Linked DNA regions of Ovis aries. The protein of the gene in region 1 interacts with the protein of each later gene in a pairwise test. Links are inferred from orthologs where the notes say so. Each region holds a gene or a part of one and is shown on either strand. Other genes may lie near its edges.

Region 1 (4,366 bases):
ATTTATGGGACCATATTTTTTAAATAAAAAATTAAGATACAGGCTGTTAGAGCAAAGCAGAGACAAACCTAGATCTCTTTAAACGGATTGAAATAACAGTGACATTCTTAAAGGGTCAAATTATACAGGAAACATATACTTCTGCCCTCTTAAGATGAGTAATATATTTCTTCAAAGCAGGAAAAAAACTTTACAAACATCTTTTCAGCTTTCCAGTATATAATCAGCCTCAGAATGGCAACCATTTCCTATTGTCAGGTAGTTGGTGAGAAATGCAAAGTACACCTGCAACCAGCGGCTCAGGAAGATCAAGGTGAACACCAGGCCTTGGCTCTCACTTCTACCATTCTGTTACCAGGTACGGAAAACTTCAGCGAAAGGACAATTAAAAAATACACATTTTAGCCAGGTATTTGTATGGATGTGAGAGTTGGACTGTGAAGAAGGCTGAGCGCCAAAGAATTGATGCGTTTGAACTGTGGTGTTGGAGAAGACTCTTGAGAGTCCCTTGGACTGCAAGGAGATCCAGCCAGTCCATTCTGAAGGAGATCAGCCCTGGGATTTCTTTGGAAGGAATGATGCTAAAGCTGAAATTCCAGTACTTTGGCCACCTCATGCGAAGAGTTGACTCATTGGAAAAGACTCTGATGCTGGGAGGGATTGGGGGCAGGAGGAGAAGGGGACGACAGAGGATGAGATGGCTGGATGGCATCACTGACTCGATGGACATGAGTCTGAGTGAACTCCGGGAGATGGTGATGGACAGGGAGGCCTGGCATACTGTGATTCATGGGGTCGCAAAGAGTCGGACACGACTGAGCGACTAAACTGAACTGAACTGAACCCCCTTAAAGGTAATGATTAATCCTATGATGACGTTTGTTTGTTTGTTTTTTCCTTTCTTTCTTTTTGGGACCTAAGCGGGGGAGTGGGGGGGGGAGACATCAGGGTGTCACGAATTTCTATCAAACAAGAAAATGAATTAGCTTAGCAGTCTTGGGAAAACTATGAAGTTATGGCAGCTTTGCAGGTGTCCCAAGATTTGGGTTGCTTTACAGGAATAACTGAATTCATGGCACAATTAAGTACTGGTTCAAGCTCATGCTAAAATATCCTAAGTCCCTTTTACTTTAAATCATTCTAAGTATGCTTTTCTTTGGAAGGCATCAACTGCAATATGCCACTTCCAGAGATGCATTCCTATACCAACTAGACTTTAAAAATGGTAATTACTCTAAAGGCACACCCTTGAGCAACCATCACACCGCACTGAGCTCCTGAGAATATTCTGGAAGCATCACTGTGAACAGTTGCTTCTCTGTAGGGGAAAAAAGTGAAATTAAACAGAAGCAGCAGCTTCTGTATGGAGAAACACGGTTTGACACTTGGAATCCTTTTCTACTGCAACAGGTTTACCAACAGCTGCGTTCCTCTGGAGTTTTGAATCTGTGAATCCTTGAGTATCACTCCGCCTTTTTTTTTTTTTTTTTTTTAATCATGAAATACCTTCTGTATACCGTACGGCAGGAAGAGAAAGTTTGGAAATTACATGCATAAGACTCAGCTAACCCAGATGACATACATGCAATAGCATTACTTGAAGAACTTATTCAACCCAATCCTTTGCATCTTGTTAACCAAGGCACAGAACCTCTCCAAATTTTGCACCAAAGAAAAGAGAGAATGCAAGGGTCTTGCTGCAGCTCCTGGGACGCACTGAACACCACCTTGTTACAAGTGTATCCAAAGCTCCCAGCACCAGGGACTTGGGCGGACTGCTTCTCTCTGTTTCACTGTCCCTGAAGCTTTCAGAGGAGACGGTTGTGCTATGAATGCAGACCTTACAAAGCAGGCCAAGAAGATGCTTCGTACCCCCAAGTGCTCGCGGTGCCGGAACCATGGCTTCCTGGTACCAGTCAAGGGCCACGCGGGCAAGTGCCGCTGGAAGCAGTGCACCTGCGAGAAGTGCTACTTGATCACCGAGCGCCAGAAGATCGTGGCTGCACAAAAGATGCTCAAGAAGCAGGCCTCTGGAGAGGAGCAGGAGGTGGCCCTGTGCGCACAGGGACCCCAGCTGGCCCCCGGGGGCGCGGCCGCCACCCCAGGCCCAAGCTTCTGCCCGCTGCTTCCGCTTGCCCCTTTGGGAGACGCGCAGCCGGGCCCTTCGGGCCAAGCGGCCGCCTGCCTCCCTGAGAGGCCCCCGCGGGGCCAGAGCCCCAGCCCGAGTGCCTTCCAGCCAGTTCTGGGCGGCCACAACCGCGGCCACGTGGGCCTGAGCGAACAAGCAGCCAGGGCCAGGCCCAGCTCTCTGGAGCCCCAGCTGACGGCGGAGGCCGCCGGCCGGGGCTACCCCGGCTGCCTGGAGCTGCGCAGGCTGCCGCGGCCTGTGCCGAGCCCGCCGTTCACCGACTTCGGTAAGATTCCCGGTGCCCTGAGCCTTTGTCCCGCTGTTGGTTCCTCTCCGCCTCCCCACTTCCCTCACTCTGGCGTCCCAGGCCAGCCGCGCGTATGGGCCCTTGGGGTGGGGGTGGGAAGATGCTTTCTAGAGGGAATCTTGCTTCGGGATACCTTTTTCTGAGTAGGCATTTGGGTTTGGTGCCTTTTTGCAAGAAGGTAAAAAGAGAGAAAGGAATGGGTGGTTCTGAGGGGGTAATTTTAAAAAACATTTAGCTATAGTCTCTGCTTTCCCATTCCGGGAGAAAAAAAAAATGGCCGCACACACACAAAAAAAATGGCCCCCCAGTCTGCTTAGCTGAGGCTCCTCCTCCCAACAGAGGGGATCGCGGGAGAGTGGCCATATTGCGCTTGCGCAACTCTTCCCACCCTTTTCTGGTGCTGGAGGCTCCTCCCCCAGAACGTCCTCGTGGGTGGGCCAGCGCCTTATGACTGCACCTGCGTCCCTCCGCCCACCCCTCCCCCATCTTCTGTGCCCTAGTCAGCTTGCTCCTCAGCCGTGCTCTGGCCCAATGGCTGTGTATGGGCGTTCTTCCCACCTGTTTCCCAGGCATGGATGGGAATGAGACCTCTTTTCTGCTCCCTACAAGAGAACAGTCTATTGAGACGTGGTTGCTGTTTTTCTCTCCTCCCTCCACATGCATAAATTACATTGTTCCCTAGGTATTGTAACTTTCACTATTATAATTTCAAGTCACATGTAGGTTTGAGACTTTTAAAAAGGGGCTCATTTTGGGTGCAGACACGTGTTTTCTGGTTTTCTCTATGGCAGTGTGGTAGAAAGAGCGCAAGTCTGAGTCAGGACGCTGAGGGGCTGCTCACTTGGTAATCTAAGGCAAGTTCCTTCCTTCTGTGACAGCCTCGCCCCTCTGTAGGCTAAGGGGATTGGCTTGATGCTCTCCGAAGGCCAGTTCTGCCTTCTGGGACGTTCTAGGAAAATATAGGTCCCTAGAGAACTAGATGAGGAAGACAGATCTGAAAAGCAGTTCTAGGAGAAGGATACCTTTCTACGGATATGGAGCCTTTCTTTGTTCCATCAACTGAGCACTGTGTGCCCAGCACTAGTGATGAAAAGGTGAAGAGGGGTGAGTCAGATTCCTTGCCCTCAAGGATCTTGTCCTTGTGAAAGAAAAGGACATCACAGAGAACTCTAATAACCAGTGGTTTAGCTGTGGTCTGAAGGAAGATCAGGAGCTGAGCACTGAGGATTCAAGAAGGCAAGTGGAGTTAGGAAAAAAAGCCTTCCAAGCAGAGGGGACAGCATCTGCAGAGGCCCTGAGGTGGAGGAGAAAGAAGGCGCTACTAGTGATCAGACAGTGAGGCTGGAGTGAAGGCAGGAATGCAGTCTGCGTGGGCTTCATGGCTGGGCCAAGGACTTTTGCTGAGGGCAACAGAACATGGTTGAAGGGTTTAAAAAGCAGGGAGGATCAAAAGCATAATGGATATGGGAGTTGTCTGTGAATGGATATGAGTGTTTATTTATACTGCTACCTTCAGACGATAATATGGTGCCCTTTTTTCTAGCTCCATGTGTTTTTAACACTTCCCTCGTTGCATGTCTTTTCAGGGCTCCCTCTGAGCATCAACTCAGATTCTGTGGTGGGGTCTGAGTGCCTGGAGAGAGAACCTCCCAAGCTGTACCCCAGCTGCTCCAGCATGCACCCCTACCGCCCTTTTCCTCTGGGCTACCAGGATGCGTCCCCAAGTGTGGGGATCCCTCTGCAGCAGAGTTTCCAGCACCTGTCCTATAGCCACTACTATGGAGGAGGCTTGGTGAGTCCCATTCCTGATATTTTCGAAGTTCCTCCCTATTTCAGCTGCCCTGGCTGCTTTAACAGACTTTCTCCCAGGCAGCCAGCCATTGTGCTCACTCTATACCAGGACATGGGCAATGGGTGGAAGGATACAGCAT
Region 2 (3,645 bases), on another chromosome or scaffold:
TCCTGCCCTGCAGGGTGGGGGCTGGGGCTGTCTGGGTCACTGCTGGACACAGAGCAGGGAGTGTCTGCTGATGGCCGTTGGTGCCAGGGGGCGGGGGAGGGTGGGTGGTGCCGGATGGATGGGGTGGGCAGCAGGAAGGGGAAGAGCCTGGGATCTTGCATCGGTCCCCAACTTGCTGCAAGCCTCACCCTTCACCTCCCTGAGCCTCAGCTTCCTCCCTCCACAGTGGGGAGTCGGGGCAGGAAGGTCCAAGCCTCCTGGCAGAGACAGGGAAACTGAGGCTCCAAGGGCATCGGGCAGGGGCTTGTTCCCAATGCTGCCCAGGACACCTGCTCTGTCCCTTGCATCCGCTTCTCCCGGGCCCCCCCCCATCAGCTCTCACGCCACATCTCTGTCTCTCGGTCCATCTCAGTCCGCCTCCCCTGTAACAATCTGACCCCCTTTCTTACCTCTCTCCCCGTCATCAGTCTGTATGTTTGCCTCTTCCAGCCGGTCTGACTCGTCCTCTTCCTGTCTCTTGCTCCCCGTTTGACTGTCTGTCTCTTTCCTTGTCTGTCTCACATCCCCCGGTTTGTCTATTTGTCTGTCTCTCCCAGTCTGTCTTTTGTCGTCCCACCCGTCTTTTTCTTCTCCAGTCTCCCTGTCTGGGTCTCTCTGAGGGCCTGTCCTCAGCCCTCTCTCTCGGTCTGTCTTCCTCTTCCTCTCCTTGGGTCCCTCTTCCTGGCACACTGACTTTGTGTCTGTGAATCTCCCAGGGGAACGAGAAGGTGACCGGCCCCTGGGGGGAGGATGCCAGGCTCCCCAGAGCTAACTGGCCTCTCCCCCTTGCCCCCGCCCGCCTCTCTGCAGCGAGACGGTTGTGTGCACCAGCCGGGCCACGGTGATGCTCTATGATGACAGCAACAAGCGCTGGCTGCCCGCCGGCACGGGCCCGCAGGCCTTCAGCCGCGTCCAGATCTATCACAACCCCACCGCCAACTCCTTCCGGGTGGTCGGCCGCAAGATGCAGCCGGACCAGCAGGTGAGGCTCCCCTCCTCCTCGCCCCCTCTGCCTGCGGGGCCTCACCACCCCCATCCACTTCTCCCCTCCCTGCCTCCCGCCAGGTGGTCATCAACTGTGCCATCGTCCGAGGTGTCAAGTATAACCAAGCCACCCCCAACTTCCACCAGTGGCGCGATGCCCGGCAAGTCTGGGGCCTCAACTTTGGCAGCAAGGAGGATGCCACGCAGTTTGCCAATGGCATGGCCAGCGCCCTAGAGGCCTTGGAAGGTTAGAGACAGTGGGCGGAGGGGACCGTTGAGCCCTGCCGTGGGGCCTGGGGCTGCCCCTTTACCACTCGGCCTCAGTATACTCATCTGAAAACAGGGCCCATTCACTGCTGCTACGGAGAGTTTCTGGGCTGGCCGGAAAGCTCATTCAGGTTTTTCCAATGCTACGGAGAAATCCAAATAGGTTTTTTTCGCCAACCCAATTTTGTGGGCTCCTCTTTGCCCTGCGTGCACCCACGTGTCAAACGCATGGTTCCTAAGAGCCCATTTGGCTCCGTGAATTTTTACACTTGCGCACTCCTTTGTGACCACCTCCCAGATCAAGATAGAAATATTTCAGGCCTCCGGGAGGTTTCCTTTGCCCTTTCTCCAGGTAACCATTAGACTGACTGACATCATTGTCAGTCAGTTTTCAAGCCACAATGTTAAGAAAATACTTCCAGTTGGTATTTCTTAAACTGGAATGTGCCTGCGAGTCATCTAAGAAAAAATGCAGATTCTGAATCAGGTAGGTGGGCCAAGACCGGAGCCTCTGTGCTTCCCAACAAGCTCCCTGATGATGCCAGAGCTGACCGGTCCATAAGGAGCACTTTGAGGAGCAACGGTTTTAGGTGACGGCTGTGCGTCTAGGTTCGCCAGTTGTCAAATGGTGGAGGCATTTGCTTCCAAGGGCAACTGCAGTGGCAGTCTGAAGCACAAGAAATAACGGGAGCCGGAGGCCTGAGGCTGGGTGAGGAGGGGGCTGTCAGCCTCTTCTGAGCTCTCAGGTAGGGGGTCTGAGCAGCTGTGACTGTGCGTTAAGAGCCTGGATTCTGGAATCTGCCTGAATTCAAGTCTTGTCCCTGCCAATTCCCATCTGCAGGCCTTGGGGTGGGTGACCCCCTTCTATGGGCCTTCGCTGTCCTGCCTGTGATCTGGGTATCCTTCCAGTGCCCACCACCTGTCAGCTCAGTCAGGGGAAGCGGGAGCCAACCCTCCTCACAGGGTACCCGGAGGCCCCTCGGGAGCGTGCCAAGGGGTGGGGCTGGCTTCTGTGTGACTCACTAGCCTTTACTCTCACTTCCAGGAGGTGGGCCCCCGCCCCCACCACCACCTACAGCGCCTCCCACCTGGTCTGCCCAGAATGGCCCCTCGCCAGAGGAGATGGAGCAGCAGAAAAGGTGGGGCTGGTCCCCGGGTGGGAAACCTTCCCCCAGCCAGAGTTCTAGGTGGTTCCAAAACCCTTGACGCCTAGAGTTCAGACCTGTCCAACTTTCAATTTTCAGAATGTTCCAACTCCCAGGGGACTAGAAATCCACAGCCTTAAGAACCACCCTCCCCGCCTTGGAGTTTGAAAAACTCCTGATGCCCAGAGTTACAGAACCCTTCAAATCCCAATCCCAGTCCCCTGGACTTGCAGAGTCCAGAACGGGGTTGTTTAAAGGATCTTGGGCGTTTTGTGATTCATGATGGTCTGATGACTGGATCGCTCCCATCCCGGTCTTGCCCTGTCCCTGCCCTCACCACCCCACCCCCCAGCCCTTTCCCGGGTCCCTCGGGGATAGAGGACATGAGTGGGGCTTAGGAACCAGCCCTGCCGGACACCTCTGAGGGGCAATCCGGGAGGTTGCTGGCCACCTGGGAGCCCTGGGTGATAGCCACTCGCCCTCCCTCCCCAGGCAGCAGCAGTCAGAGCTCATGGAGCGGGAGCGCAGAGCCTCCAACGCAGGTGATTGCTCAAATGGCCTCGGGGGGTCAGGGGACCGCCCCAGAGGAGGGGGTGGGCCAGCCGGACAGCAAAGCATGAAGCTTCTCTCTCAGCACCCCTCCTGTTTTGTGTTCCTTACAGGAGGCCCGCCTGCTCCCCCAGCTGGGGCACCTCCACCGCCCCCGGGACCTCCCCCTCCTCCAGGTCCACCCCCACCCCCTGGTCTCTCCTCCTCAGGGGTCTCGGCCGCCACACAGGGAGCAGGGGGAGGCCCGCCCCCGGCACCCCCTCTCCCCACAGCACAAGGCCCCAGTGGTGGAGGGACCGGGGCCCCCAGCCTGGCCTCAGCCATTGCCGGCGCCAAACTCAGGAAAGTTAGCAAGGTGAGGGGCAGGCGCAGCGGATGTGGGGTGACGGGTCTGATATAATAATGGAATGAGGCTAGAGTTGCCTGGGAGCCTCACAGGAGGGCTGGGAGGCCCGCCCGTAAAGCCCTCTCTTCTCTGTAATTTCTCCAGCAGGAGGAGGCTTCAGCGGGGCCCGTGGCCCCCAAAGCTGAGAGCAGTCGAAGCACGGGCGGAGGCCTCATGGAGGAGATGAACGCCATGCTGGCCCGGAGGTGAGCCCGAGCTCAGAGCTCTCAATGGTCTTGGAAAGCTCTCAAAACAAACCCCTCAACCCAGCAGTTA

What was found. The genes of interacting proteins can lie anywhere in the genome.
Region 2: the proteins of DMRTB1 (region 1) and VASP interact in a two-hybrid assay, tested with the Homo sapiens proteins (2 studies listed by BioGRID and IntAct). The two-hybrid records come from large-scale screens. The link is inferred for Ovis aries from reciprocal best matches to the Homo sapiens genes DMRTB1 and VASP.

The regions. Positions count from the first base shown.
Region 1 is NC_056054.1:27,981,444-27,985,809, forward strand, and holds the start of DMRTB1 (doublesex- and mab-3-related transcription factor B1), read left to right. Parts: upstream 1-1,507; 5' UTR 1,508-1,828; coding exon 1,829-2,414; intron 2,415-4,021; coding exon 4,022-4,227; intron 4,228-4,366.
Region 2 is NC_056067.1:52,898,518-52,902,162, forward strand, and holds part of VASP (vasodilator-stimulated phosphoprotein), read left to right. Parts: intron 1-849; coding exon 850-1,021; intron 1,022-1,104; coding exon 1,105-1,270; intron 1,271-2,335; coding exon 2,336-2,429; intron 2,430-2,927; coding exon 2,928-2,977; intron 2,978-3,097; coding exon 3,098-3,339; intron 3,340-3,474; coding exon 3,475-3,575; intron 3,576-3,645. UniProt on the Homo sapiens protein: Ena/VASP proteins are actin-associated proteins involved in a range of processes dependent on cytoskeleton remodeling and cell polarity such as axon guidance, lamellipodial and filopodial dynamics, platelet activation and cell migration.